Linked DNA regions of Notamacropus eugenii. The protein of the gene in region 3 purifies or fractionates together with the protein of the main gene of each other region. This does not show direct contact. Links are inferred from orthologs where the notes say so. Each region holds a gene or a part of one and is shown on either strand. Other genes may lie near its edges. The genes, in order: DVL1, LRP5, AXIN1 and PPP2R5A.

Region 1 (7,000 bases), on a different chromosome or scaffold from region 3:
ACCAGGCCCTGGGGAAGGCTATTCCTTCGGTTACTCCTCCTCCCTAGAGTTCGAACCCCAGGCCCAGAGCCCAGCCCCAGATTCCATAAACCTAGGGCTTAATGGGACCTGAGGTTAAATACGATGAACAAGCAAGCAGAACAGAGCCCAGAAGCTCCCCCCACCCCAGGGATGAAAGGCCAGGCATCCCAGTCCCCCCTCCCCCAGGCCAGACTTCCCCAAAAGACCGGGAGCCTGGGTCATCAGAAAGTGGGTGTACCCACACGAAGGGTTCCCTAAGATACCACCAGACGCACCAATCCTTTTTGCAGCCCCAGACTCGAGTCTTGGGGCTCAAGGCCAGAATACACGATCCCAGCTCCACAAAGGAGCTTACAAAAGCAACTTCCAAAACCAGACTTCGATTTGCAAAGAGGTCAGGGATGGGGGGAGGGGGAAATCTTGATGCCCCTCCCCCAATGGCCAAGAACTGGCTCAGTAGCGGAGGCCTCCCAGCCAATAAAACCTCTAAGGAGGGGGCCTCAGCGCTGTCCAGCACGAGAAACTAATCTCAGAGCTAGGCAGACATGAGGATCCTCTGTCTCTACCCCTGGCACCCCAGAAAGGGGTCTGGAGCTCTTTCAGCTTGGGGAGAGGGGGAAGGAGGGAGGAAAGGTCTCAGAGATAACTGGAAAGCAGCTCTCAACCCTATCTACGATGAAGAGCCCCTGCTCTGGAGCAGAAACCACAGGATTACAGATGTAAAGTTGAAAGCGACCTTGGAGGTCATCTGGTCCAGCCCCTCCATTTTACAGATAAGGAAACTGAGACCCAGAAAGAGGAAGGAATCTGCCCAAAGTCACACAACTTTGGAAGTGGAAGACATTCTCTCTAACATCCTGTGACTGATGATACTGCTCCTAAAATCAAAGAATTCCATTGGACTCTTGGGATTCAAACCTGGGCCCTCTGTCTCCTTTCTACTGTATACCAGTGCGGTCAAATGCACTATCCCAAATGCAACAGTTCTGAGTGAGACTGGAACCCGATTAAAATGTAACTGGAAAGTCATATTAAAAATTTAACAAAAAATATAATAGAACATAGATAATGTTAATGCATAGCTTTCTAAGTCGGTATGTTCCCCCACAGAGATTATGTACAACTTAGAGACTCCCTTGGAATCTCACTTTCTGAGTTTGACACTACAGAATTAGCACCTGCCCTTGCCTCCCCAGAGTTGGCCCCTCTAAACCTTGGCTCCCCATAGAGCCCCAAGGGTTCAAATGCTGCTCAGGGTAAAGCCTCAGTTCCCCAAAGCGTTGCCCTGAAACAGGCAGCCCTCCTCAGGGCCAGAGGCAGCAGGCAACCATGTGAACCAGGAAATGATTTTCAATGTCAAACTCTCAGAAAGTGGCTGGTAAACAAGGGCACAGTCAGAGGCCCTACCAGGCCTAATCGATAGGAGGGAGGTCAACCAGCCAAACCCAGTGGGGCACTGGACAGAAAATGGGCCAGGGCTGAGGATGTTCAGCTGAGGGCCCACTCAGGCTTGGCTAGCAAAGATTCAGCCCTAGTTAAATGAGCCCCAGCACCAGCTTTAGAAGGGAAAAGCTCCATCTTGGCTAACTAGCCCCTCCTAAGAAAACAGCAGCAATGAGACTGGGAAAAGTAACAGGTACCCAGCAGACTCTGGGGTTCAGAAAATGGATTCCTAAGCCCTGTAGACAGCCACTATGGTGGGCAGCCACTGTGGTGGGCAGCCAGCATGCTGCCATCAAGTCAGGGAGACAGGGAGACCCTAGAGACAGGGTCTGACCTCTCCCCAAGAAAGGATCCTGGAGAAGGAGAGGAACTCTCCTGGTTTCAGCCAGGACACAGTCCTAGCCCCCACCTCTTAACTCCCATTAATCCCTTGGATGCTGAGAGAGGCCCTTGAGAATGGAGGGAGTAGGGCCGTCTCTTAGGCTTGGGGGAAGGGGAAGCCACTCCTCTGGTATCAGAGAGGTGGGGGCCAGAGTCGGCTGATATAGGAGGGTGTAGTTGCCTTCACACTGGTGCACCCTCCACCCCCCCCAACTCCGGCACCCTCGCCAGCTCCCAAGGCCTTCTGGCCAGGGCAGCCATGTTAGCTTCAGCGGCCTAGCCTGGCCTTCCCGGGACAGAACCCTGCGTGCCCAGCCCAGCCAGGAGTCTGAGAGGGCAAAAAACCCTGCCAAGGCCAGAGAGGGCCCATCTTCCTCCACCCACCCTGGTCAGTGCTGACATTCAGATGGAGGAGGAAGGACTCTCCTCACTTAAATACTTCTGTCCCCACAATGGGGTGGCTTACTTCACCCCAGTCATAGCTGCAGAGCCCCAGAACCCCACTGATATACACACACTAAGCCCGAGGCACAAACGAGGGGACAGGGGATAAGGACCCCAGCCAGAAGCTCCACCCCTCTGTCAGGGAACAGGTGCCCTGGGGTAGGGAGAGGTTTGAACCCTTCAATGCACCCCCTCCCAGAGACAGGAACAGGGCCAGAGATAGGGACGAGGCCAGTGACAGGGCCAGGGCCAGAGCCAGAGCCAGAGCCAGAGAGAGAGATGGCCAAGGCCGGAGTCAGAGACAGGAATGGGGTCAGAGACAGGGACAAGGCCAGAGCCAGAGCAAAGGCAGGGCCAGCAGGGCCCCGGGAGCCGCGCACGCCGCCAAGGCCGCCACTGACCCGAAGTCCTGGTCCATGGACTTGAAGAAGAACTTGTAACAGTGAGCCGGCCGGTTGCTGAGCACGCTCTTGAAGTCAGCCAGCGTGACCCGCTCGGGGGCCACCGGCAGCTTGACCAGGTAGGGCGTCTCCTCCTCGTCCATGTGGTAGATGATCTTGGTCTCCGCCATGGGGGGCGGACCGGGGGAGCCCGGGGCAGGGGGCGTCGGGGGCGTCGGAGGCAGAGGCGCCGGTTCAGCGCGGAGCCCGGAGTGCGGGGCCCCGAGGGGACCGCGGCTGCGGCCGCAGGAGCGGAGGCCGGGCGCCGGGGGCTCGGGCTTTCTGCGCCGACGGGGCCCAGGCCCCGGTCCAGGCCGCGGAGGCGGAGGCGGCTCCCGATCGAGCAGGGAGGCCGGGCCAGCCGCAGGGGGAGGCCAAGGCCGAGGTCCAGGCGGAGGCGGCGCGCCGGCTGCTGCCCCCCGCGCTGCCCCCGCGGCCGCCCATCCGCGCCCCGGCCCGGGCGCGCCGGGGGAGGCCGCCTCGGACGCCTGCCCGGGGGGGGCTTCGGGGCCACCGGCCGGGTTGGCTGGAGGCGGGCCGGGGACCGACCGAGCTCTAAAGGGCCGCGGCGGCGGGAGCCGGAGCCCGAGCGGGCCACAGACAGGCAGGCAAGCGCCGAGCCCGGATCGGGGGCTCCCCGCGCCCTGCAATTAGCAGCGTGAGTAATGCGGCCGCCCCGCCCGGCCAGGCCCGGCCCCCTGCCCCCGGGCCCCCCTCCCTGCCTGCCTCCGCCCGCGGCCCCTCCCTCCGTGACGCCCCCTCCCCGCCCCGAGCCTCAGCTCCGAACCCAGTCCCAGCGCCCGGTCCCCCGCCCGCACCCTCGTCGGCACCGCCCCCCGCCCCCCCGCCCCTCGCGACGTCTCTGCGCGTGGCTCTGCCTCGCCCCCCTCCACAGCCAAGGGCCGAATTAAAGGGACCGCAGCCCCAGCGGCCGTGATCGCGGGGGAGGGGGTTGGGAAGGGACAGCCAGGAGACGTCTCACCTTGTCCCCCCTCCCCGACCCCCGTGATTACGGCCGCAGTCACGAGACGTCCGTGCCTCCCCCTCGCTGAAGGCTGTCGGGGTTTGGGAGGGCTGCTCGCTGCCCTGGGGGGCGATCTCAGCCTCTGCAGCCTGGAGTCAGAGGACCGTCCTGGGCAGGGTCTTGCGAGGGAGGACCTGGCGGGTTCCTTTCTCTGTGGCTGTCTCCCTTCTTCAGTCTGCCTGGCCCTGTGTGTCTCTGTATCTGAGCTCCTGTGTCTGGCTAGGAGTCACTTTATGTCACTTTCTCCCTGTCTCAGTGTTTCCGTTTTTCTGTCTCTCTAGGTGTCTCTGCCTCTGTGTCAATATGTGTGGGTATCTCTGTCTCTGGCTGTGTCACTCTATATCTCTGTGTGACTCTGGCTCCAGGCTCTGTATTTCTGTCTCCATGTCTCTGTCTCGATGTCTGTATACGCACCTGTCTGTATCTCTGTGTCTCTGGCTTGGGAGTGTTTCTTACATAGGTCTCCCCCAGCTGCTTTCCAAAACCTGTCCACCATTAGAATGGCTCCTTCAGGTGCGTCTGACTTTTCATGACCCCATTTTTGGCAAAGATACTGAAGCAGTTTGCTATATTTACTTATCCAGCTCAGTTTTTACAGATGAAGAAACTGAGGCAAACTGAGTTAAGTGACTTGCCCAGGACCGCAGGGCTAGTAGGTTTCTGAGGCCGGATTTGAACTCAGGAAGATGAGTCTTCCTGACTTCAGGCAAGAGATTCTATCCACTGAGCCACCTTGCTTCCTCTCAGGGTCTACCTGTCTTCAACAGGTCCTGGGAGAGAGCCTGGGTCTCCTATCTGTCACTTACATCCAAGCAAGGGAGGTGACCTCTGAGGTTGCTTGTAGCCAGACACTGAGTGGGGGCTGATAATATTGTTACAGATTGGAAGCTGATACAATATATCTGTCCCCTGTCCTATGCACTGGGAGCTCCATTTTCTCCAAGCTGCTCTCCCAGAAGCCAAGTAGGAAGGCTGAATATTTTGGTTAGTATTTTGCTAGCATTCATAGGGAGTTTTGGGGGCCCAGGTCTAGCTGGGCCTGAAATCAGGAAGACCTGAGTTCAAATGTGATCTCAGGCACTTATCAGCTATGTGACTGTGGGCAAGCTCCTTAACCTCTGCCTGCCTCAATTTCCTTAACTAAAGTAGGAAGAAAAATAGTACCTACCTTCCTGGGTTGTAAAGAAGATCAAATGGGATACTATTTGTCATACTGTAATATTTATAATACTATTTGTAGCAATGTCCCCAATGTCCCCAATGTCTAGTCCGTCTACCTCCCTTCAAAAAATAACTTAGAGTCAACCTTGTATAGGAGGCCTTTCCTCATCCCTCCAATTATTAGTACTTCCCCCCCTTGGAAAAAAATAATTTGGGGGATGACTAATAAGTTGTGGCATATGATTATGATGTGATACTATCATACTGTAAGAAATGATGAGAAACTTGGGAAGATTTATATGAACTGAGGCAAAGTGAAGTGAGCAGAACCAGGAGACAATTGTACATACACAGTAACAGCAACATTGTAACAATGATGAACTAGGAACAGTTCAAGAGAATGACCCATGATAATTCCAAAGGACTCATCATGAAAAATGTTATCCACCTCCAGAGAGAGAACTGAAGGAATCTGAGTACAGAATGAAGCATATATTTTTACTTTCAAATATTTTCTTGTTTTTTTGGGGGGACTGCCATGTCTACTGTGGAAAACTATTTTGTGTGACTTCATTCGTATGATGATATCCTATTTCTTGCCTTCTCAATGGATGGAGGCAGGAGAGAATTTGGTGCTGAAAATAAAAAAAATTAAAAGAAGAAATAGCTATAGATACATCTATTTGCATATACAAATGTGTGTATATATATATATTATACATCAATTTAAGGTTTACAAAGAACTTTACAAATATTATCTTATTTTATCCTCACAACAACCCTGGGAGGGAGAGAGGTGCTATTATTATCCCCATTTTAAAGATGAGAAGAGGAAGGCAGATAGAGATCAAGTGACTTGCCTAGGGTCACACAGCTAGTAAGCAGTTCCTGACTCTTGGTCCAGTGCTCCATCCACTGCACACCACCAGCAGTAACAACAACAGTTATTACTATTATTATTAGCATTTGACTGAGCAAGTTATTTAACTTTTTATGGTCTCTAAGACTGTGAATCAAAGAGAAGGTATTGACCTGCATTGGCAGGAAGTTTTTTCTTCTGAGAGTTCCCTATCCCCATTTTACAGATGAGGAAACTGAGGCTGAGAGGTTAAATGATTTGCCCATGTCTAAGGTCTTCCTGACCTTGTCTAGCACTCTATCCACAAGGACACCTAGCTGTCCCTGACACCAAACTGTGCCCTAACCTTACTTAGCAAAGGTGGGGGACTTTGGGTGTGGATCGCTGCAAATGATGTCAGACTTTTTCGATATGTTAGTTACTTTCTCCAAATTGGTCATTTCCCCTGTTTTTATTTTTGTTATAAGGGAGAGCTCCCTGTAAAGGAGGGAAAAGGATGTATTGGGGAATGTAGGTGATGTAAAAAACAAAAGATACCAATAAAAAATTTTTAAAACAAACTACCTTCTACAACTTCATAGATCTTTGCATTTACTTATGTACACACGTATATCTCTGTAGAATGTAATCTCCTTGTGAGCAGGGATTCTGTCGCCTTTTATGAATGCTTAGTAAATGTTTGTTGAATTGGCTTAGAGAGTTCCTTGGGTCCTAGGGAGGTTAAGTGATTTGCCTGTGATCCCACAGAGACAGGACTTCTGCCTAAGTCTTCCTGCCTCTAAGGCAGGTGTCCGATCCACTTGTAAGTGACAGAGGTTCAATTTTATATAAAATCATTTTAAAATTTGGTTTCTCCATGTTCATATTTCCTTTATGAAAGGGTTTAAGTGTAGCCTGAAAAGCACACGCACACTTCAAGCTTGTGTGGCATTGGTATAGGTAGTACTTAGCACTCACTAAAAATTTTGTCATTCTTAGCTCTTTGGAGCGAAGCAATGATCTAAGACGATTCCAAAAGACTCATGATGGAAAATGCCATCCCCATCCAGAGAAAGACCTCTGGAGTCTGAATGCAGATCAAAACGCTATTTTCCTCTCTTTTGATTTTTTTTCTTTCTTGTGGTTTTTTGCTTTTCTTCTGACTCTTCTTTCCCTACATGACTAATGGGAAAATGCGTATAGCCTATATCAGATTGCATGCCATCTTGGGGAGGGGGGAAGGAAAGG
Region 2 (7,209 bases), on a different chromosome or scaffold from region 3:
CTCCCATGGCCCGTTCTCTTTCCCCAGGCGGTATGGAACATGAAGAGATTCTCAGGATTCAAAGTCAGGAAAACCTGGATTTAAATCCTGCCTGAGTGATACCTTCTCGCTGCAACCCTTAGGAAAATCACTTCTCTCTGGGACTCAGTTTCCCCTCCAAAAAAAGGAGATACCAATCACAATGGTAGCCACTTAATAGGCCTACTGGGACGTTGATAATGAACGTGCCATGTTTTGCCAGTTTTAAGCCCCACAGAATTAATGGGTTAACATTCACACAGGGCTCAGAACTGGGGTCTCATTTCCCCTCCCCTCCCCCAATTTTAGTTCCCTTTTACATGTGGTCTTCCCACCTGAGAATGTAAACTGGGGGGAGGGATGGCCAGGGGCTTTCTACTTCCTTCTATATCTCAGAGATTCTTTAATATAGTCCCTGGCACACAGGAAGCACATAATAATTGCTTGCTACCTGCCTGCCTTGTTCGTGCCCTGTGAGGGAAGTACTATGGGTATAACTGTTCCAGTTTTAGAGACTGCAAGCTGAGGGCAGAAAGGAAGCAATAGAAGTAGGAGAAAGCATGCTGACTCTGGAGCCAGAGACTTTGGTGCTTCCTCTCTGTTTGATGGAGGCAGCTGGGTGGTGTAGTGGATAGATCCCCCCACTTGGAGTCAGTTGGACCTGAGTTCAAATCTGGCCTCAGACCCAGAGTATATCACTTCAAGCTATTTTGTTTCAGTTTCCTCATCTAAAATGAACTGCAGAAGGAAAGAGCAAACCACTCCAGGATCCTTGCCTGGATCCTGAGAAAACCCCAAACGGGGGCCCAGAGAGTTGGACACGACTGAACAGCAACTTCTGTATGACAGTGGTTGTCACAGCCAGATGACTGGCACATAGTAGGTGCTTAGCTGAATGACTAATGGGGGGAAATAGGCTGAAAATCAAAAAGTAAGGTGACAAAAACTGTCCAATGTGTGCCCAGGAGCCTCCAGGGCGGGGCCTGGAGGGTCTTTGCTCCCTCTACTCCTAAAATGAGAATCAGCCCCAGGAGGAGGGGAGTGTACTCCCAGCACAGAACCTCAGAAAAGGCTGAGGACAAGCAGAAGATGAGGCCTCTTTACTTTGCAGACACAGAGATAAACTTACTGCAAACTCAGTATTAAGTTCAGAAAAGCCCCCAAACCATTAAGGGAGACCCAAGTACAGATACTAAAACCCTGGGCAGAGGCTAGGGGCAGGGAGACCTCCAGCACATTGCTCCCCTTCCACTCCAGCAGCAAGAGGAGGCCGGAACCAAGGGGAGATAAAGGGGGCACTAGACCTGGCCTGGGAAACTGTCCAATACCAATGCAAATCCACATCAGAGCACTCAGATGCAGTGAGGTGTCCAAGGTCACACAAAGAAGAGAGAGATAAAAGGTGGAGGAGAAGCCTGCCCTTCCAGACTCCATGGGCCACCTAGGGCCTCAAACCTAAGCCTTTGGGAGGCAGGCACCCAAAGCTTCCAGACAAGGCCAGGCAATGCCATTGTTTCCCCACACCCTGCAGCGGCAGGCCACAGCTTTTCGTTCCCCCAAAGCTACGTCTACACGAGTAAAATAGTTACCGAAACCTTAGGAACCAGACTTCCCCAGACCACTGCTGCCAGTCTAGCTCCCTCTGCACGTGTAGACTCGCTTAGGACAAGCCAAGGGGCCTCTGACCAGCACCCTCCCTCCAAGCCCGAACCGCCAGGTGAGCAGGGTTTGGGGGACTTCTCTGGGTTCCTCCTCGGCCAAGTCAGGGGAGGCGGCAGAGCAGGCTGCCTCTAGATGGAGGGGCCCAGCAGGGGCTCTCCATGTCTAAGGGGAGGGGGGCTGCAGGCATCGAACCCGGGCCACTGGGGATCACAAGGAAAAGCAGGTGGCCAGAAGTGGGCTGGGCCCCAATGTGGGCTCCTTCCACCTGCGGGTTCTTCTTTCCCCAGCAAAAAAAAGGGGGGGAGCAACGTGCAGGGGGACACGGTGGGTGGTGCTGAGCTCTCCACAGGTGGCCGCCGTACCTGGCAGCCAGCTCTGCTCCAGCAGACTGCCTGAGTGCCCTGCTCCTTTATTGCCACCCTTTTTGGACTCCGCGGGGCGCGCACCTGGGCCACACCCCGTGGCACCCAGGGCCCTGCTCCTGGGGGGAAAGCACCCCAAGCAGGAGGAGAGCGTGGGGTGGGCGCGCAGGCTGGGGGCCCCTGGCTTCCCTCCCGGCTCGGCCTCACGTCTCCCCGGAACCTCCAGACAAAGGGCCCGGACAGCCCCACTCGGGCACTGGCAGGGGCGGGGGGAGCGTGTGCGGGGGCCACTCGGGGGCTTCCTTTCTCTGAACCCCACCCCCAGGGCTCCGGGCCGCCGGCGCGGGGAGTCGCAGGCCCACAAGCCAACTTCTGAACTCGAGATCGGCCGGCCCGCCCGGCTCCTGCTCCCCGCCCCCGGCAGGCAGGCAGCAGGCCGGCCGTCCAGCCGCCGAGCAGGTCCCAGCAAAGTTCTATTGTTTCAACGCCTTTGCAGCACTCCCCAAAAGTGAATGTGTGCCTGTGGGGGATCCCCCCTCGGCCGCCGCCGCCGGCCCCTGTCCCCAGCTCCAGGCTGGGCTGCGCTGGTCCCGGACGATCGCGAAGCCCTGCCTCTGTCCCGGCGGCCCAGGCCCGGCCAAGCTGGGCCCCAGGAGACAAAGCTTCGGGGGCCCCACTCACCTCCCGCTGGAGCCAAGCGGCTGCAAAGGACCAGCAACGCCAGCACAGCCTCCATCGTCCGGCCCCGGCCCGGCCCGGCCCGGCCGCCTCACTCGGGCTCCATGGCGCGGCCCGCGGGGGCCCAGGTGTCCGCGCGTCCCCCCGGGCGGGCCGGCCGGCTCCTGCTCGGGCGCCCCCTCCTGCTCCGGCTCTGGCTTGGGCGCCCCCTCCTGCTCCGACTCCCGCTCCGGCTCCCGCTCCGGCCCCCGCTCCGGCTCCCGCTCCGGCCCCGCCGCCGGCTCCCCAGGGCAGCTCGGTTCCCCCAGCGTGCGCTCCTGGCGCCCCTAGCCCCCTCCCCGCGGGCCTCCCCCAAGCCTCCTCCAACCCAGTGGGAGGACGTTCATGAGGAGGAGGAGGGGGAGGAGGAGGGGGGCGGGAGCCCAGGCGGCTCTCCGCCCCCAGCTGCCTCGCCGGCCCCGCCTCCCCGCCTGCCAGCCCCCATCTAACGCGCTCTCTCGCGCCCGCCAGCTGCCACCTGCCGGGCCTGTCACCCCGCGTGCGGCCGAGCTCCCGAGTGGACTTGTCTGCTGACCTTGAATCCCAAAGACCCAGATGCCTAGTGGACATCTCAAACTCAACTTGTGCCAAACTCCCCCCCCCCCCCCCCAACACTGCCGCCTTCTTAACTCCGCTGTGGTCCAGGGCACCACCCTCCTCTCAATCCTCCCCCTTTCCCCCCCACCCCCGGCTCTAAAGCTGGACACCAACTCCTCCCTCTCCCCCTCCTCCATAGCCAAGCTGCGGTCAAGGCCTGTCGATGTCAACTGGACAGGTTTGCCCAGCTCTGTCTCCTCTGACGGCACTGGCAACCAGCGCTGGCACCGGGGGCAGCCCCTCAGACCTCTGGCTTGGACTACTTCTGTGGCATTCTAGGGGCCTGCCTGCAACAAGTCTGCCCTTCGCAGCTGCCAAGGAGATCTTCCTCAAGCTCAGATCTGACCATGTCACCCCGTACTCAGAAAACTCCAGCGACTTCCTGGCAGCTCCAAGATTCACTATCAAATCCTCTGTCATTCAGTCCCTCCTAACTTCACCTCCCTGCATACACACAAAACTTTCCAGGCTTCTCACATCCCACATCCCACCACACACTCTCCGGTCTCCTGGGTGCTCCAGAATGAGATTCCAGGCATTTTCATGGGCTCTCCCCCCATGCCTGGAATGCTTTCCCTCCTCCAGGCTTCCCTGACTTCCTTCAATACTTAGCTCACATCTACAAGTTGTCCTAACCCCTCTTCATATCAATCCTTTCCCCTGTTGATTTGGGCCCAGCCTTCTGTCCTGTGGGGTCTCTGGCTAGGCTCAGACTGCCCAATGTGAAAGATCCACAAGGGGGACTCAGGAATTCTAACAACACGTGAGCTACCCACACACACACCCACACGAACAAACATACTCTGGCTAATCAGTGACCCATCTGGCAGTCAGTCTTTATTTATTGCTTACTTTGTGCCAAGCACTGTGACAATCCCTGCCCTGTCCAGGGAGGAGCCTGAATGGTGGGTGGAGGGCTGAAGGTGGCCCTGCCCACCATGGCCTCCTGGGCTCTTTTAGGATTCCTGTAAACACCTGGCCTTCTTGGAGCATCTGGATTGGCTGCTCACTGGCTGCCTCCTTTTACTGGGCAAGAAACTGCGGCTCAGAAAGGGCATTCCAGGGAATCTGGATTCGAACTCAAGTTCTCTTACTTCCAGTGCAGGGCTTTTACTGAGGCTCCAGGGCCTCCCCTGAACCTATGTCATCCTGTGCAACCTGAGCCCTCCCCCTCCAACCCCTCTCTCTGTGTCCCTTCTCCCTCTGCCCCTGCTCCCCCTTCTGGGCCTCTACCTTCCAGTCAAACTGGCTTTCTAAGTGTTCCTCACCTGGGACACTCACCCCGAGCAGCTCAGCGACTGTCAGCTTCAGTGCTGGCTGGGTGCTGCCCCAATGCTCTACCACCTCACCTCCCATCTTGGAATCCATAGTTCCCTTGACTGCCTGGGCAGAGTAAGTACAAGGACACCTCCTACAGGAGGCCTTTCTCCATCCCCTCAGCTCAAGAAGATCTTACGTCTTTTACTGCATCCATTTTGTCCATGTTCGTAGGCGTATATATAAAATGTAAGGTCACAATATATGTAAGCTCCGTGAACTTGGATCTCTTTGCATCTCAAGCACCTGCTGCGTCTGTGCCCGGCACACAGTAGGCATTTCATAAGTGCTGACTGAATGATGTGAACAAAGAAATGCTCAAGAGGATGACTGAAAATGTTTAAAGGGAAATCTGGGAACCCCCCCCCCCAAAAGAGAATGGTCTTTGAAACTCAGAATCTCCCAACTGGAAGGAGCCTGGGAAGCCACCTAGTCCAGCAAGGATGAGGAGCCACAAAGAGGGTAGAGCAGGAGCCAGAAGTTTGAACCCTGAGTACCTGTAAGGGTGGGGGTACCTTTGGCACAAACAGGGAACTGAGGAAGAAGTGGGAGCGTGAAGGAAAGAGAAAGAGGTCTGCTCAGGCTGTACCGAGTATGAGATGCCAACAAAAAGTCCAATTAGAAATGCTCAGGAGGCTGTTGAGATCACTGGAATGGAGCTCAGGAGAGACAAGGATTGAATGTAGAGGAACCGTCTGTGCAGAGTGATGAGGTTCAGACTCTGGGAGCCTCCTTGAGCTCCCCTTGAATCTTCCCACTTAATCTGGCCTCTCTTACTCAAATCTAATCTTCCCATTTGTTCCACAGTCTCAGGAAGCCTATGGGTTTTACATTATCATTTCAGGTCTCTGTTGCACCCCCAACCCTTGATCTCATCAAAACCCTATTCCCCAGGCTGCCAGCCACTCCCATCAAGATCTGTATCCATCCACATACTGGCCCTATCTAGGTCTCTGGATTGCCCCACCTGCTTCCCACCCAAACGCTCCGTGGTCTGATTTCTCCTGATAGCCTCCAGCTGTTTCCAGCCTTTGACCCTCCTTGGACTTCTCCTCAAGACCCTTCCTAAATCCCTCCTCCCATCACCCTGGACTACTAGACCCCCCCCCAGACCCCTCCTATACTCTTTTCTGTATTTAGTCCCACCTTGCCTCCATGAAGGCGCTCAGATTGAATCCAGCTCACACCCCGTCTAGCCTGGATTCTATCTGGCCCGCTTGTGAATACAAGCGTTACAAATGCTTAGGGTCCTGAAGAGGCAACCCAATTAGGCGAATCTTTAATAAACTTTGTTTTCTTTGGCTTTAAGAAGGCTTGAGTCGAATTCATTCGAGCACGACCCGGACTGTCGGTATTTTGGGGTCCCCATCACCCCTATAACCTCTTCAAGAGAACTGGCCTCGTGGTGAGGGGAGAGAGAGACAGAGAGACAGAGACAGAGACAGAGACAGAGAGACAGAGACAGAGACAGACAGAGACAGACAGAGACAGACAGAGACAGACAGAGAGAGAGAAGGGCCCTGGGGCACAGCCGCACTCTGAAGCCACTCCGGGCAGCCTCAGTTTCTTTGCCCAGGAGTTTTGTTTTGAGCCAAATGGCCCAGGGCTTACAATGCTAGGCAACGTGGTAAAGACTGAGAGAAGGGAAGGACAGAATTGGAAAATGATTCCTCTTTCCTAAAGTGAGGCCATACAGTCCCTTCAGTGGCTCATTGATTATGAACTCCCCCCCTCCTCCTTCCCTCCCTTCCTCTCTCCCTTTCTTTCCTTCCTTCCTTCCTTCTTTCTTTTATTCTACATCTACCTGATTCAGGAAGGGGTCTGTGTCTATGGGGTCCCTGGGGAAATACAGACTTCACAGGTCATCAACCCAAGAATTGCTTTCTGAGGAGGTGGAGGAGGGATGTATTTGAAAATGAAGGGCTCTAGCTAGGAGCAGTCCTGTGATTTCATTGGTAAAGAGCATTCTCTAAACCAGAGAAGGACATGCCCTTTACCAGCACAAGCTCAACACGTTTTCTGTAACGTAGTCTTAGAGAGTGAACTGCCCAGGATACTAAGAGGTTCCACATCTCACAGCCAGAATGTGTAAGAAATGGGACTTGACTTGGTCTTCCCAAACAAAAAATAGTCATAACATTCTTTAATTAAAAATAATAGCTGGCATATATGTAAAAACACTTTAACAATTAAAAAGTGACCTATGGGCATTTTCTTGTTGCCCAAACCCAAGAGGTAAGGGCTTCAGATCTCGTTAGCTCCATTTTACAGAAGAGAACACTTGAGCTTCTCCGACACTGGAAACTCAGTTAGAACATGCCTGGGGCATTCTCTGAATCCAGGTCTGGCTGATTCCCAGTCTAGTCTTCTGTAGGTGAAGCTTTGAAATGTAAACAGTATATTATGGGGGGAGGGGGATGGGATGAATGAGATGGCTCCTTTCAGTCTAAACACTTGAAAATGTTATGACTTTCTTTTCTTTTCTTTCTTTTTCTTTTTTTTAGGCAGTTTAGCATTAACAATGGGACACAGGGAG
Region 3 (7,357 bases):
AAATACACCAAAACAAATATGGGATAATGGAAGGAACACTAGACTAGGAATCAGAAGACCTAGGTTGTAACCTGGTTTTGCCACTAATGAACTGCGTGACCTTGGGCAAAGTACTTAACCACTTGGGGCTTCAGTTTCCTCATTTGTCAAAAGAAGGAGTTTGACTAGATCACCCTCCTCTTCTTTTTCTGCTCTAACATTCTATGATCATGTTAAACTTATCTTTCTCCACACAAATGAAATATTTCAGATTCTTTCCACTTACAAGGGTTGTCAATTAACACAAGGCAGGAGACCCTTGCTGTCTCTACAAGTACCAAAAGGAAAACACTCCCCACCAAATCTGTAGACTGGTAAAACACTATTCTTTGATTCTCAGGTCTCCAACACAGAAGTAAATCAATACAAAGTCCACTCACTCACTCATTCAATAAATAAATAAATGCAGTAAAATTAATTCATGCTAGAATAAAGTAACCACAGATATGCAATCTGGCTCAGAGCCTGTAACCTCCAACAACAAAGTTCTCCCTTGAAAGGAATGTGCTTTTAAAAGTCTGATATGCCTTTATAATTTAAGGATTGCATAAGCTCCTTTCCTGAGTACCAGGTGTCTGGACTCTTTAAAAAGTGATATGATCACTAACTTGATTCTCCCACCACAGAAAAAGCCCAAGAACATATTTCAAACCAGAGCAAGGGATGACAATTCAAAGCTACTGAAAATCAAACAGGAACATGGTCTTTTAAGTGACATCCTAACCTTTTCCCTCAGCTGAATTTCTTAGAATTGGAACTGAGCTATTCTTACACATTGTTTCAGGTCAGATACAGTTTCCCACCCAACCAGACTACAGGTGAACTCCTGTAGAAGGGCCTGTGGATCCAAGTGAACTTGAAATACTTCCTGCAGGGAGAAGCACAGAACCTTATTGTGCAGCCCCCCCCCCCCCCAAAAAAAAAAGCTAATCTCCACAATAAAAACCCTTTGTAAAAATATTTTAGATTTGGGCTGAATGAAACCGCTGAAGTATTGATGTATTTACTCTTTTTTCTTCAGAAGTTAAAGTTTTACTGACTCCCTCTAACACTGGTTTTGAGACTGCATATTCCTAAGGTTTCCTGGGGGGGGAGGGGCAGAGGGGGTGAGACGGCAGGCTGGGAGTGGGACTCCTAAAGAAAAAAATCACGCTAGGTGAGGTTTAGTCCGTGGCTACAAAGTTAGGTTTGTTACCTGTTGTCTTGGAAGGTTACAGAAGCAAGGGGCAACCCCTGAATTCTGAGGTCAAACCACATCTAGTACTACACGTTGTACAGAAAAACAACAGTATTTCTGCTCCAATTTGGGGTTATTTCTATGCCACAATCTCTTAATATCCCTCCTTTAGGTCTAATTCTGGGATTCTAACAATCATTCTACAAATCTCCAACTTGCCTCACATTAGGTATCCTCTTCTCACTTGTCTTCTTCAATCCTCCCCCACACACACACCTATGGGACTGACTCCAATTGGACACCGGCTCTACTCTATCCTCAGATTTCCTTATTTGGACCCCCTCTTCTTCACATTTCTCTACATTTAAATGCAGATACATTCCACCATCTCTCCCCCTTCACAACTAGAGATTTTCCTCACTCTGGAAATTTTATTTTTGTAGGGGGGGCGCAGAGGACAAGGTTGGGCAGTGGGTGAATTCAAAGCCTTCTGCTCAAATAGCCCTCCACATGTAAATTCCTCTATCCTATTTTACATACACACAACTAGCTATACTTCATAAACTGCTTTGGCCTCTGCCACATTCTCTCCCTTTCTATCCTACATTTTCATACTCACCTCCAGAATCATCATTCAGCCTTCTCACACCACCTACACCTCTATGACATCCTGACCTTACAAACTCGTAAGCAAGTCCTGTGCTGCTCTTTGGCCTCAGCATCCCCGTCTCCTGACACTCCCAAATTTCATTTTCTATCCTTAAACGTTTCCAGGTCTCCTCATCACTCTCAGGCATATGCAGGTGCCCTATTCCGACTTCTCAGGCATGCCCCAGGTCCCCCCCTTTCCTCTCCTCTCAGGCACTTCCTGGTTCCCCCTCCTTTCTCCTCCCTCTCCCTCCCTCCGGTACCCTTCCTTCTCCTCTCAAGCACCCCTACATCTCCTCCCCTTTCTTTCCCTCAGACACCCCCATACCCCCAGGTATCCCCTTCCCTCTTCTCTCAGATACCCCTAGACTCCAGATACCCCCCCCTCCCCCACTCCTCCTCTCCGACACCCCCCAGGTCCCTCCTCCCCTCTCCCCGTCCCTGATACCCCCAGGTCTCCCCTCTTTCCTCTTCTCAGACATTCCCAGGTCTCCCCCTCCTCTCAGACACCCCCAGGTCTTCCCTTCCCTCTCTTTTCAGACACCCCCAGACCCCTAGTACCCTCTCCCCTCTCCTCCTCTCAGACACCCCCAGACCCCCAGGTCTCCCCTCCCTTCTCTTCTCCCCAAACACCCCCAGACCCCAGGTCCCCCCTCCCCTCTCCGCTCAGACACCCCCAGACCCCAGGTTCCCCCTTCCAGACACCTCCAGACCCCAGGTTCTCCCTCCCAGACACCCCCAGACCCCAGGTCCCTCCTCTCTTCCTCTCCCCAGCTCCCCTCCTCCCTCTCTTTCCCTCCCTGGGACTCGCGCTCCCTCCAGCCGGGCCGGGCCTAGCGCGGGGCCCCGACCTCCCCTGCGGCCACCGAGCTCCCTACAATGGGCCCGGCTCCTGGGCCGGCGGGCTCCGCTCCGGGTCCGGGCCTGCCCCGCGCCCCGCGGCCCCTGCCCGGCCTCCCCCCTCAGGAATGCGCGGCCCCGGCCCGGCCCGGCCTGGCTCCCCACTCACCCGCGCGGCGGCGGCGGCGGGTCCCGGTCCCGGGGCGGGCGGGCGGCCCGGCCCATGCGGCTCAGAGGAGACCAGGCGGGCGGGACGGGGCGGGGGCGCGGCCCCGGGCGCTCCCCATGGCGGCGGCGGCTGCCTCCGGGACGGGGAAGGAGGCCCGTGGAGCGAGGTCAGCGGGCTGGGGCGCGGAGCCGGAGCCGAGCCCGAGCAGAGCCCGGGCTGCGCCGACCGCCCGGCCCGGCCCGGCCCGCTCCTGCCCCGCCCGCGCTCTGGCTTCTGCCTCCGCCGCCTCCGCTCCCCGTGCCAGGCCCGTACTCCGGGCCCCTCCTCCGGCGCTCCGGCTGCGGCCCCGGCCCCGGCCCCGCGGAGGCGGCCCCTGCCCGCTGTGGCTGCTCCTGCCGCGGTTCCTGCCGCCCGAGCCGGGAGCCCGAGCCCCCGAGCCCAGCGAGCTTCAGCTCGAGCCCAGAGCGCCACCCTCGGCGCCGCCGAGAATTGCGGGGGAGGCCCCGGGCGGGGGCGGGGGCCGGGGCGGGGCCCCGAGAGGGGACGCGCACTGGGGGCGGGGCAAGTGTGCGGCGGGGGAGGGAGGGAGAGACGAGGGAGGAGCTCCAGTAGTGGGAGGAGGGGCTGAAGGAACGCGGCGGGAGGTGGAAGGAAGGGGAAAAGGAGAGGGAGTGCGGCTGTGCAGAAGAGACGAGCTTCTGCAAAGCTCCAGCGAGCCTGGTAACCTGGGCAGGGTCCCTTCAGGTCACCGCTCCTCCGTCTGCTCAGCTGTGAAATGCACCTCAATGGTCTCTTCCACTACGAGTCCTAATATGAGGGAAAGGGAAAGAGAAGGTGAAGGAGGGAAAGAAAGAAAAGGGGGGGAGATGAGAGGGAAAGGGAAGGAGAAGGTGAAGGAGGGAAAGAAAGAAAAGGGGGGAGATGAGAAGGAAAGGAAGACACTGGAGGGAAGGCAGAGGAGGAGAAGGGCGGCAAGGAAAGATGGCCAGGAACGTTAGCAGAGGCCCGGAGATGAACTGGAAAGGTGGAGAGAAGAAAGGGCATCCATCCTAAGCTTCCTCTTCTCTCCTCCATACCCCGAAATCCCTTTTCTTCTTTATCCCCCGTTATCTTTTCTTTTGTCCCAGTTGCAGATAACCCTGCAACTTGTAGTCTTGTCACCATATCCTCCAGAAGTGACTGCTCCCTCTCCCTCGCACCTTCAGTATCTCCTTATCCACTGAGTTGTTCCTACTAAAAGATCCAGGTTTCACACATCCTAAAAACAGAACAAAATAAACAAAACCACACACACACAAACCTTCATTTGATAACTACTTCCCCTCAAGCTATCCATCCATACCTATTAAGCTACAGACCAACTTCTCTTCTCCTTTTCCAAGATAAACTCCCTATATCCATTTCCTCCCTTCCCACTCAGTTCTGAGTACCTTGCATTTCTACTTCTGACCCCAGCCCTCAATAAACTGCTCTTACCAAGGATATCTACTAGATCTAGGGCCTTTTCTCAGTCCTCATTCTACTTGATCTCTCTGAAGCTTTGGACCTGACAATCCCTTTCTTCCCCTTTCCTTCTCTCCTCCCTTGAATTACCTGGGATCATAGAATTAGAGCTGGAAAGGAACTGAGCAGGCAGCTAGTCCTGAGTGGGCAGCTAGTCCAGCTTTATTTTAGAGAAGAGGAAATAGCCACACAGAGAAGGTAAGTGACTTGCCCAGGGTGGAAGTCATCAAGTATCTAAAGTAGGGTTAGAACCCAGGTCTTTCTGATGCCAAATTGAGTACGCTATCCACTATGCCACTGGCTCCTGACACAGTTTTCTTTTAGTTCTCCTTCTAGAATTCTAAATAGTTCATTTCAAACTCTTTTGCTAGATCATCATCACCTTCTTTGCCCATTAAGTGGGCTCTGTTCTTTCTATCTATTTAATGTCCTGATCAACTCCCATGGGATCAATTATCATCTTGTTGCAGTTTCTCAAATCTATGTATCTAGAATTGATGTCTCTTCCAGGTTCCAATGCTACATATTCTGTTATCTACAGGACATCTCTACCTAAAACGAGATGCTCATTTTCCTAAAATACATCCCTCTAAACTTCCCTGTCACTTCAGTCATCCAAGACTGATACCACTGGTATGATCCTTGAGTCCTCCCTCTCCCTCAATCCCCATACCCTATCAGTTGTTAATACTGCCTTCATAACATCTCTGCCATCAGTCCCCTTCTCACACTTCACAAGATCATCACCCTAATTCAGATTCTCATTACCCCTCACGTGGACTATGGCAAAAGCCTCCTAATTGATCTCAAAGCTTCCAAACTCTCCCCTCTCAAATCCATCCTCAACAGAGTTGTCAAACCAAAATTCCTAAAATAAAGGCCATGGCTCACATATCTCTTCTCAAAAATCTTTAACAACTCTCTTGCCTCTAAGAGAAACACAAACTTCCTCAGCATGGAATCTTAAGACATCTACAGACTTAGTGCAGAGTGAGGAAGGAACCATCTGAAGTCCTCCCAAATTCCCCTCGAAACAACTAGAAAACCACCTCAGAATTGACCCAGGAGCAGGAAAGAAGCTTACCAGCACAGCAGGAAAGGTCTGTCTCACTGGGGTGGGAGCGGAGCGAGGTCTAAGAACAGTAGCAGCAGCAGCCAGCCTCACAGAAGGAGACCTGCAGCAAATCTACCTAGGAGGCTCCACCCTCCTGCAAGTCAGCAGCCCCCCAGGCAAGTTAAGCAGTCTATACTGAGAAGCACAGCCCTATCCCCCAAAGCACAAGCCACCAGCCAGGCCTTGACCCCATTGCTGACCAGTACTGAAGCCCTACCCTGGGGCTGCCTAACACTGAGACCCTGTCCCAGGGGCCTACCAGCAGAGAGACCCTGTTTCAATAGCAACCCAGCAATAGGACCCCACCCCTGGGGCAGGCCAGCAGCTAAATTCCACACTTGGTCAACAAGGAAGGCCTACCTCCTAGTGAAAGCCATAAGGGAAGCCTACGTTCCAGGAAAGACAAGCATCTTCTAAGCCCTGAAGCCCAGTGAAAGCCAAGAGTAAAACCTAGAGCCCTAGTGCAAAAACCTTGGGACAGTGCAGAACCAGAGGACAACTCTCACATAAAAACACCAAGTCACAGAAAAAGTGTGGTGAGGGGTGGGGTGGGGAGAGGCAACAAGAAAAAATGAGTTAAAAACAAAAAAGAGCTTGAAAATAGAAAAGTATTATGGTGATAGGAATGATCAAGACATAAACTTAGAAAAGGACATAGTGTCAAAATCGCTATGTGTGAAGACTCAAAGGAAAATGTAATTTGGTCTCAGGCCCGAAGAGAATTCCTGGAAAAGTTTAAAAGAGATTTTTAAAAAGCAAATTAGAGAAGCAGAAGAAAAATTGGGGAAAGGAATGAGAGTAATGCAAAAGAATCATGAAAAGAAGAGTCAATAGAATGGGAAAAAATATACAAAAATTTACTGAGGAAAATAACTCCCTAAGGAACAGAATTGGTCAAATGGAAAAGGAAGTACAAAAGTTCACTGAAGAAAAAAATTCCTTAAAAATTAGAACTGAACAAGTTGAAACTAATGATTCTATGAGACATCAAGATACAATAACACAAAATCAAAAAAGTAAAAGAAAAATAGAAGAAAATGTATAATTTCTCACTGGAAAAACAAATGACCTAGAAAATAGATCCAGGAGAGATAATATAAAAATTACTAGATCAACTGAAAGCCATGATCAAAAAAAAAAGCCAGGACAACATCTTTCAAGAATTTATCAAACAAAACTGCCCTAGACCAACCAGAGAGCAAAACAAAAATTGAAAGAATCCACCAATGATTGCCTGAAAGAGATCCCAAAATGAAAATTCCCAGGAACATCATAGTCAAATACTTGAGTTCACAGATCAAGGGGAAAGTATTGCAAGCAGCCATAAAGAAACAATACAAATATTGTGGAGCTACAGTCAGAATTACATAGGATTTGGTGGCTTTCACATTAAAGAACTGGAGGGCTTAGAATATGATATACCAGAAGGCAAAGTACTTAGGATTATAACCAATAATCACCTACCCAGCAAAATTGAATATAATCTTTCCAGGGGAAAAATGGATATTAAAAAAAATAGAGGACTTTCAAGCATTTCTAATTAAAATATGAGAGCTGAATAAAAAATTTAACCTCCAAATACAAGACTCAAGGGAAACATAAAAAGGTAAACAAGAAAGAGAAAACAAAAGAAATTCACTAAGGTTAAGCTGTTTATTTTTCTATATGTCAAGATAATATTTGTAACTCTTAATATCTTTAAGTAAGGAGCATATGTAGAGAGAGGGGGTGGATAGAAGGTGATTTTGATGGGATGATACTCCCCCAAAAGAAAACAAAATAAAGGAGTGAGAAAGAAAATTGCACTGGAAGAAGGAAGGAGGAGACTGAATGGGATAAATTATCTCCCATAAAAGAGGCATGAAAG
Region 4 (7,708 bases), on a different chromosome or scaffold from region 3:
TGACTTTCTCTGTCTGGAACATACTCTCTTCCTTTAAAATTCTACTTTAAAATCATCTCTTCCAAAAAAGTTTTCCCAGACTAATTCCAACTCATTTCTATTTACTCCAGTTTTTCCAACAACTCCATCCCAACACTTATAAATGTAGCTTTATACATCTGCAACTAGTTATGTACTATATTTGTGTGTTTTCTGTTGTATAACAACTCAGATTAAGACAGTGCTTGAACATTTACAAAGCAATTTCCTCAGAACTACCCTGAAGTAAGTAGAACAAATATAATTTCCCCATTTTAAAAATGAAGAAATTGAAGTTCCAAGATTTTTAGTGACTTGCCTATATTTACACAGCTAGTTAAGTGACAAAAGAAGGATTTAAACCTGGGTTTCTTCTAAGTGCAAGACCAGTTTTCTTTCTACTGAACCATATTCCCTCTCTTAAATATGTTTTGTCTCATATTCTATTTAAGTATAATAAAATTCATGGGCTTAAGAGATCAGAGTTTTTAATAAAAATGAGGTACTAGAGGGGGTAAGTAACTTGGCTAACAGCTAATAAGTGGCAGAACAGGGACTTCTGACTCTTTGTAGAATTCTCCTTCAACTTTGGTGGTATAGGGCTGAAATGGAATCAGCCCCTTACTTTTGTGACCATGAGCAAACCATTTAATCCCTCTGGGTCTCAATTCTCTTATCTATAAGGAGGCTGGAATAAATGGGATCTAAGATCCCTTTGTTCTAAATTCATGACAATGGTTCTTTCTTCATTACCAAAAGATAATATTACATAGCAGTGATCTTGGAACTGGCATAAAATAATATCCAAAAAGCCCTAAATGAAAATAGATATTATAAAGGAGACCAAGAATCAGACATTTTTTAAATTATTAAATACAATGTGTAAGAAATTAGATCATGATAAAGAAAATATGAACATCCTCTAAGACTTCACAGTCTAGAAGGAAAAAATAAAAACTTTAGATCATAGGATTATATGGCTATAGATCATATGGCTTCCTTAATGTATGGGTCTCATTACCATTGTGCTGCAAGTGTTAAGCCTATTTTTCCTGTTGAAGCTGGGTGTATTTGAGGGGAGAGTATGCCCCAGATTTATGGAGTAAATGTTTTGTAGGTATAATTTTACTTTATCTTCTTAGTAAATGCCTTTGGCTAAGAGTTCATTGTATCTACTGGCTTACTGTTTATGGGAAGCATACCAATGGGGGCTCAGAAATTATATTTGTAGGAACAGTCACACATAGGGTTATCCCTAGAATCCAAGATAACAACCACCCTCTAAGGCTCTATTCCTGGAAAGAAAGTGTTAAATTAGGAAGTAGCAAGTGAAAGAACTGAGACATTCAAGTGACTTGTTCAAGGTCTGAAAAATAGTAAGTAACACAGCCAAATTTGAACTCAGGACATCTTATTCTGGATCCAGTGTCTCTTCTACTATATATCCCAAATCTTGATAAATACAACACAAGTCAATTTTTAACTGCTATATGAGTGTGATAGCTGTGTGCAATAGATGGTCATGAAAGGTAGGACTGGGCTCAGTGGGGAAGACATCTTGGAGAGTTTGATCTGGGTCATGAAGAAAAGCAAGCATTTTGAAATACCTCATAAGATCATAGAGTCACAGATCTAGAGTTGGAAGAGATCCTAGAGTCATAGACCAACCTCACTCATCTAACAGATAAAGAAGTTTAAGCCTAGAGAGACTGGCCTAAGATGATACAGGAAAGAGGCATAACTGAGATTTGGTATGAAGAGGAGTAAATAAACATTAAATATCTACTGTGTGCCAGCACTGTGCTAATCACTTTACAGTTATCTTAACCGATCCTTGCAACAACTAGGTTGTGAGGTACTATTATTATCCCCATTTTACATTTGAGGAAACTGAGGTGACAGAGGTTAAATACTCACCAAGGGTTGCAGAACCAGCGTCTGAGAATGGATTAGATCTAGGTCTTTCTGACTCCAGGCACAGCCTTTTATCCACTGTACTATGTGCTGCCTCTGATTTGAACCAAGTCCTCTTGCCTTCAGATTCAGCTCCAATGATGCAGACTGGGGGAGTAAAAGCAGGTTCTAGGCCAAGGATTATTAACTTTTTTTGTATTGTATCCTCTTTGGTGTTGTGGTAAAGACTTTGGACCCTTTTTCACAACAGCATATAACATAGGATCACAAAAGAAACCAAATATATTGAAATGCAAGTATCAAAATATTACAAGAAAAGACAAGTTCACTGACCCTAGGTTAAGAACCCCTATATTGTTGGTGAGTCCTGTTTGATTTGTCATGAGACCATTTGGGGTTTTCTTTGCAAAGATGCTGAAGTGGTTTGCCATTTCCTTTTCCTATTCATTTACAGATGAGGAAACTGAGGCAAACAGGGTTAAGTAACTAGCCCAGGGTCGCACTGCAAGCAAGTGTCCGAGGCCAGGTTTGAATTCAGGTCTTCTTGACTTTAACCCAGTGTTCTATCCACTGCACCACCTAGCTGCCCGTACCTTAAGTAGAAGGAAAATCAGAGGTGGGAAAATCAAGGGTACATTTTGGAAAAGGGAATAGATTGATCTATTTAATGGATGGATCTGTCATATCAGGGGTTCTTAAACTTTTGTGTGTGTGTCATGGAACCCTTTGACAATTTGAGGAGTGAAGCTGTTGCATCCCCTCTTAGAATAAAGGTGATTTTGTGCATAATTGAAGGAAATGCTCAATTTCAGTGAGAGGTTAGTGAAAATAAATGTGCAATTTTTTTCCATCCAAGTTCACAGACTCCTGAAATCTAGACACCTGAGGGAAAGAACCCCTCCCAGGGGAATGATACCACAAGGACTAGAAAGGTCTTTAAAGGTCAGGCTTTGAAGCCCTAGCTAAAGAGTTTGTACCTTATGGAGAAGACAGTTTGGAGAGAAGGTGTAGTGAGCTGGAAGCAAGGTCGGGCCAAGGGTATACGGCAAGTTTGTGAATAAACAGGGCAGTTTTGTGTTTTTAAAAACTCTCTGGTTGGTTAGTATTTGAGGACCTTGAGTTGGGGAAAGAAGGGGAAAACTTCTAGTACGGTCCAAGAGAGCGGTTCGGGGGAGGTCAGCCTGGGGGCTTTTCTGGAAAGATGTGCGGTGGCTTCAGAACCTAGCGCATGTGCTCCTAACGAGCCCGAGAAAGGGGAGGCGCCTGCATTCCCCAACACACATAAAAACTTTGGGGAAGGCTTTTATGTCCAACGCCCGCCCTTAGAAGCCTTCCTTTCCCTCCCCTCGCGTTCCCCCAGGATTCCCCGCAGGCTGTCAATCAGTGCCCGCTCCCGCCCCGACTGGACCGTGAGGCTGCCCTTCTAAGTGACGGATCACCGGGCGTTCTTTCCTCCGGGAGCCCGTCCCTATGGTTGCTGTCAGTCGCTTCAGTCGCTCATTGGCCAGCGGGCCTAGGAGGTGGGCGGGAAGGGGGTGAGGAGAGTGTCCGGCAAAGCCAATCCCCCTACCCCTTTCTAGTCTCCCTGTTCTTTCATTGGCTACCGGAAAATTAACACGCGAACACACGTGTGTATGTGTGTGTATGTGAGTTTGTGTGCGTGTGTGTGTTGGGGGGCGACAGTACCTCCCTTCTCCCGCTCTGGAGTGTTGGTTCCACTGCTATGACGCTGGTAGCGCGCCTCCCTCCCTTCATCGGTCATTGGTTGAGAGAGATGTCCGTCACACAGCGTCCCCTCCCTCTTTCCCCTCCTACCCTGCCCTCCCTAGTCCAGCCTTAGTCTCTTTTCAGCTTTTCTAAGTGCTACCCTAAGCTGTGTGATTGACTGTTAGGCGTGCCCCGCCTCTCTCCAGTGGCTTCGGTTTGCATTGGCGGGTAGCGCCTGTCACTTCTGTTTAGTTCACCACCCCTTTATAGGTTCTATCCCCTATTAGCCCGCTCCCCGCCCCCCACCTCCTGGAGCCTTAATTAGCTTCGCGGTTTTCGTCAGTGACACAAGCTCCTCTTCCTCCTCCTCTTCCCCTCCCCCGCCGTAGGCCCCTCCCTCCGGCCGAGCGAACTCCGGGCTAGGAGCGCGGGCGCGCACACCCTCCCCAGTGTCCGCCACCCTCCCGAGTTGTAGCGGTCGCGGCGCTGCGGGGGTTGGCCGTGGGCTGTGGACCGGCAGGCGGGCGGGGTGGGGGAGGGGGGGTTTGAACTTGGCGGCGCGGAGCGGAGCGGCGGAGAGCTGGGAGCGGCGTGGAGGGTCCGGGAGCGCGGGTCCACCTCCCGCTCGGGGAATGAGGGGCCGCCGCTGAGCAGGAGCGAGGAGACACCGAAGGGGTGGGGGGGAACACCGCGGTAGCGGCGGCGGCAGCAGCAGCTCGGGCCGTGCGGAGCCCCGGGATGGCCGCGGCGGGGGCGCCTCCCGGCAGGAGCACCGGCAGCGGCAATTGAGGCGCTCTCCTGGACGGCTCTCCGAGTCCTCTGCTCCCAGCGCTCCGAGGAACTTCCCTGCAGCTCCGCCCGCAGCCCCCAACTTGGAGCAGCCCGGGAGGAGCGCGTGCGGAGCTGGGAGCCCGGCCCGGGATGGGGCTCTGAAGATCTGGGGGGCAGGCGGAGGGCGGCCGGCCGGCCCGGGGCAGGAGGAGCGAGAAGACAAGGAACGGGGCGCTTAAGCGGCGCGGGAGCCGCTTTCCCTTCTCCCGGGAGCCGAAAGCGGGGAGGGTGCGGGCAGTTAGGGGGAACGGGGCCGGGAGGTGGGGGCTTCCGCTCCTCCTCCTCCTTCTCCTCCTGCCGTGACTGCCGCCGCCGCCTCCATGCAGCGCCAGCCTGAGCTGCCGAGCTCGGCGGCCGCGATGTCGTCGTCGTCCCCGGCCAGCACCGCCATCTCGGCCTCGGAGAAAGTGGACGGCTTCACCCGGAAATCGGTGCGCAAGGCGCTGAGGCAGAAGCGCGCGCAGGGCTCGTCGCAGTTCCGCTGTCAGAGCAACCTGCCCGAGCTGCAGCCCTTGCCCCAGCTCAAAGGTAACCGCAGTCCCCGCCGCCGCTGGCCCCCGGGCCCGGCTCGCCCTTCCTCCTCCTGGACACGGTCACTCCCCCTCCCGCCACCTCCAGCTTGTGCCCGGCTCTCGGGGTGCAGTGCAAGAAGCGTAGGCTTCACTTCCTCGGAGGTGCTGAGATGGTGGTGGTTTTGTCCCTGAATTACCTCCTCCTCCCCATCCAATCTCAGAACCACCCTTGGTATTGAAGGCCTCCGGGGGAGGGGAGTGGGGGGAAAGTTACACCGGCTTTCCCTTTCTCGTCAGCCAGAATTTGCAGCCTCCTGGGTCTCGGTTCCCCTTTTCCACCTGGGACCCCTCGATGGCCAGAGGGTCGGATTTGAACTCAGGTTAAACTTAGGCACACTTCTCCAAAGCTCATCTGCCTCCTTCTTGCTTTAACACCCGCCCCGGTTCCTTCTCCTCTTCCGACTTTAGCTTTCCTCGGGTTTCCTCACTTTTCTCTGCTACTTTAAGCCTTTCCTTTGACTTTTAGGGTAATGAGTAGGCTGGCAACACACACAGACACACACACACACATACACACACACTCACGCACACATAGAGACACACGCAAACTCCCCCTCCCAGTGATTACTCCTAGAGGCCATATTGATGAAGCCTGCTGATGTAAACAGCTGTCCTCCTAGTTGGGCTTTAGGAAATTACTTAGATATTTCAAGTGGAACTTTTCACTGGATAATGCAGAACAAACGCATTTTCCTAACCTGGGGACCAGGAAGACTTTACAACCCCTGTGGGCTCCGAATGCACCGAGGGCAAAATGGGAAAGGCATAATGAAGACAATCCTTTTCAAAGTGCTATGATAATTTTTTCCTGTGAGTGCGTTGTCCCAGTTCTGTAGCTTTTCAGAATGAGAATTCTGAAATACAGCAATTCAGAATGAGATTCTATCCAAAGCTGTGCAGAGGAAATTAGCAATCCCATTGGATTTTCCTCTCACTTTATAAGATTTTGACGGAGTTGTTTCCCCGGTGTTATTGGGAAATACTGTAATTTTCCTCTTTCTTTAACAGAAATACTTTGCGTTTGTATAGTTTTGACATTTAATGGATAAAGATGCTGTCTGAGATTGAAGTGGGATTCCATTTGACAGTTTTAGAAAACTAGTCAATAAAAGATACAAACACTAGCCAGTCACCATGGAAGAAATTCAGTAAAAACTTAGATTTTTTTCAAGGCCTGAAAAATAAAAGGTTCACAGTCATATATTTGACGATGAAATGCACAAAGTACATTTTAAAATCTTTTCTCCCTGCTTTGCCCACTCCTAAAACCAATCTGGGTCCCAGCTGTATGAATCTAGTAGAGACTGAAAGAAGAAGCCCCAAAGAAAACATTTATAGTATATATGAAATCTCTAGAACTGTTTCTGCTTCTTAGGCTCTAAACAGAAGACATTCTTCTAGGAAAAATAAGGCAGGTACTGAATCAGAATCAAACTAAATAGAGGTGGAACTTGTGAAATGTTGCCTCTGCTATCAACTTTAAGCTTACTCCTTAATATGTAATAAAAATTAATTGGAACCTAGATATCCTGGTCACTTGAGTTCAACTCACTAGTAGGCATTGCCAAGAAATATTTGAGAGTGATGTCATTCACATCTATAAGAAACTTGAGTTGTTTGGTCCTTTGTTTAGCCTAAATAATCAAAGTTGTGGTTTTTAAAAAGCCTTTTAATTCTAAATTATTAATTTGATTTGTAGTTAGAAAAAGTATGAAATAGTTTTCATTTCACTGTGTTAAAGGCAAGTTTAAAGTACAGCATAAATTGACTTCAGACTTTTAAGTATTATATCTACTTTTTAACTTAAATAAAAAAAATAAAAATGGAGAATAAAGGCTCTTAATTATCCTGTAAAGTAAGGAACTCTATCTTTATAACTTCCCCCTCCCCCAAACCCTTTCTGCTGTTCATACTGTCCTGAAAGGTAATTGGAGAGATGTTTGCTCCATTTCATCTGATTGGTGCTACCTTACTGCCCAAGGTCAAATGTAAGTGTGTTCTTTATAATGGCATATAGTTTGAACAAGTGGAAAGTTAGTCATTTTATTTAGTGTTTGGTCTTTGTGGAAGGGAACAACAAAATTAGAGTGTTGTAGCGATAAATGTTGCAGTTAATGTATGTTTGGCTCTTGGACTTTTTAGTGAATATCACCTTTTGGAAAACAAACATTCCTTAGAAAAGTGCTATTTATTTAACCAAATGAGCATATGCAAATTTAACCTTTCTTTGCTCTTTTTACACCTATGAGGAAAACTAGGTTAATTTTAATAGAATTTCGAAAGTGCTAGGAAAGCACATTTTAACCGATTGCTTCAATTAGCGTTACTTGTGCTTAATTAATGTGAAAAATTCGTGTATGGCATTGTAGGTACCCAAATACAATATTTTTCCCCATGGTTGAGTGCTACTGATTTTCTCATATGCGTAGATATATTCCTAATAAACAAAGAAAGAGAAGATGGTAGTATATGTGGGAAATTGCATATTCCTCTGTGCCCTCAGATTTTATCCTACTATAAAAGTGAAATAAGTATACATATGCATTCAGAAACTGTCATGTGTTTGTACCAACCTGCTCATGTTACAACTTTGTTCACGTAGGCCCAGTGTTGGCAGGGTGCCAGCTAGCTTTCTCCAGTATACCATGTGCAGGGATTACTTAACC

The links.
Region 1: the proteins of AXIN1 (region 3) and DVL1 purify together in Homo sapiens (affinity purification with western blotting; 3 studies listed by BioGRID). This does not show direct contact. The link is inferred for Notamacropus eugenii from reciprocal best matches to the Homo sapiens genes AXIN1 and DVL1.
Region 2: the proteins of AXIN1 (region 3) and LRP5 purify together in Homo sapiens (affinity purification with western blotting; 3 studies listed by BioGRID). This does not show direct contact. The link is inferred for Notamacropus eugenii from reciprocal best matches to the Homo sapiens genes AXIN1 and LRP5.
Region 4: the proteins of AXIN1 (region 3) and PPP2R5A purify together in Homo sapiens (affinity purification with western blotting; 3 studies listed by BioGRID and IntAct, with this or other methods). This does not show direct contact. The link is inferred for Notamacropus eugenii from reciprocal best matches to the Homo sapiens genes AXIN1 and PPP2R5A.

The regions. Positions count from the first base shown.
Region 1 is NC_092876.1:34,807,043-34,814,042, forward strand, and holds the start of DVL1 (segment polarity protein dishevelled homolog DVL-1), read right to left. Parts: upstream 3,002-7,000; 5' UTR 2,861-3,001; coding exon 2,691-2,860; intron 1-2,690. UniProt on the Homo sapiens protein: Participates in Wnt signaling by binding to the cytoplasmic C-terminus of frizzled family members and transducing the Wnt signal to down-stream effectors. Plays a role both in canonical and non-canonical Wnt signaling.
Region 2 is NC_092873.1:20,619,892-20,627,100, reverse strand, and holds the start of LRP5 (low-density lipoprotein receptor-related protein 5), read right to left. Parts: upstream 3,001-7,209; 5' UTR 2,779-3,000; coding exon 2,724-2,778; intron 1-2,723. UniProt on the Homo sapiens protein: Acts as a coreceptor with members of the frizzled family of seven-transmembrane spanning receptors to transduce signal by Wnt proteins.
Region 3 is NC_092872.1:54,636,910-54,644,266, reverse strand, and holds the start of AXIN1 (axin-1), read right to left. Parts: upstream 3,003-7,357; 5' UTR 2,874-3,002; intron 1-2,873. UniProt on the Homo sapiens protein: Component of the beta-catenin destruction complex required for regulating CTNNB1 levels through phosphorylation and ubiquitination, and modulating Wnt-signaling.
Region 4 is NC_092873.1:426,020,025-426,027,732, reverse strand, and holds the start of PPP2R5A (serine/threonine-protein phosphatase 2A 56 kDa regulatory subunit alpha isoform), read left to right. Parts: upstream 1-4,707; 5' UTR 4,708-4,790; coding exon 4,791-4,998; intron 4,999-7,708. UniProt on the Homo sapiens protein: The B regulatory subunit might modulate substrate selectivity and catalytic activity, and might also direct the localization of the catalytic enzyme to a particular subcellular compartment.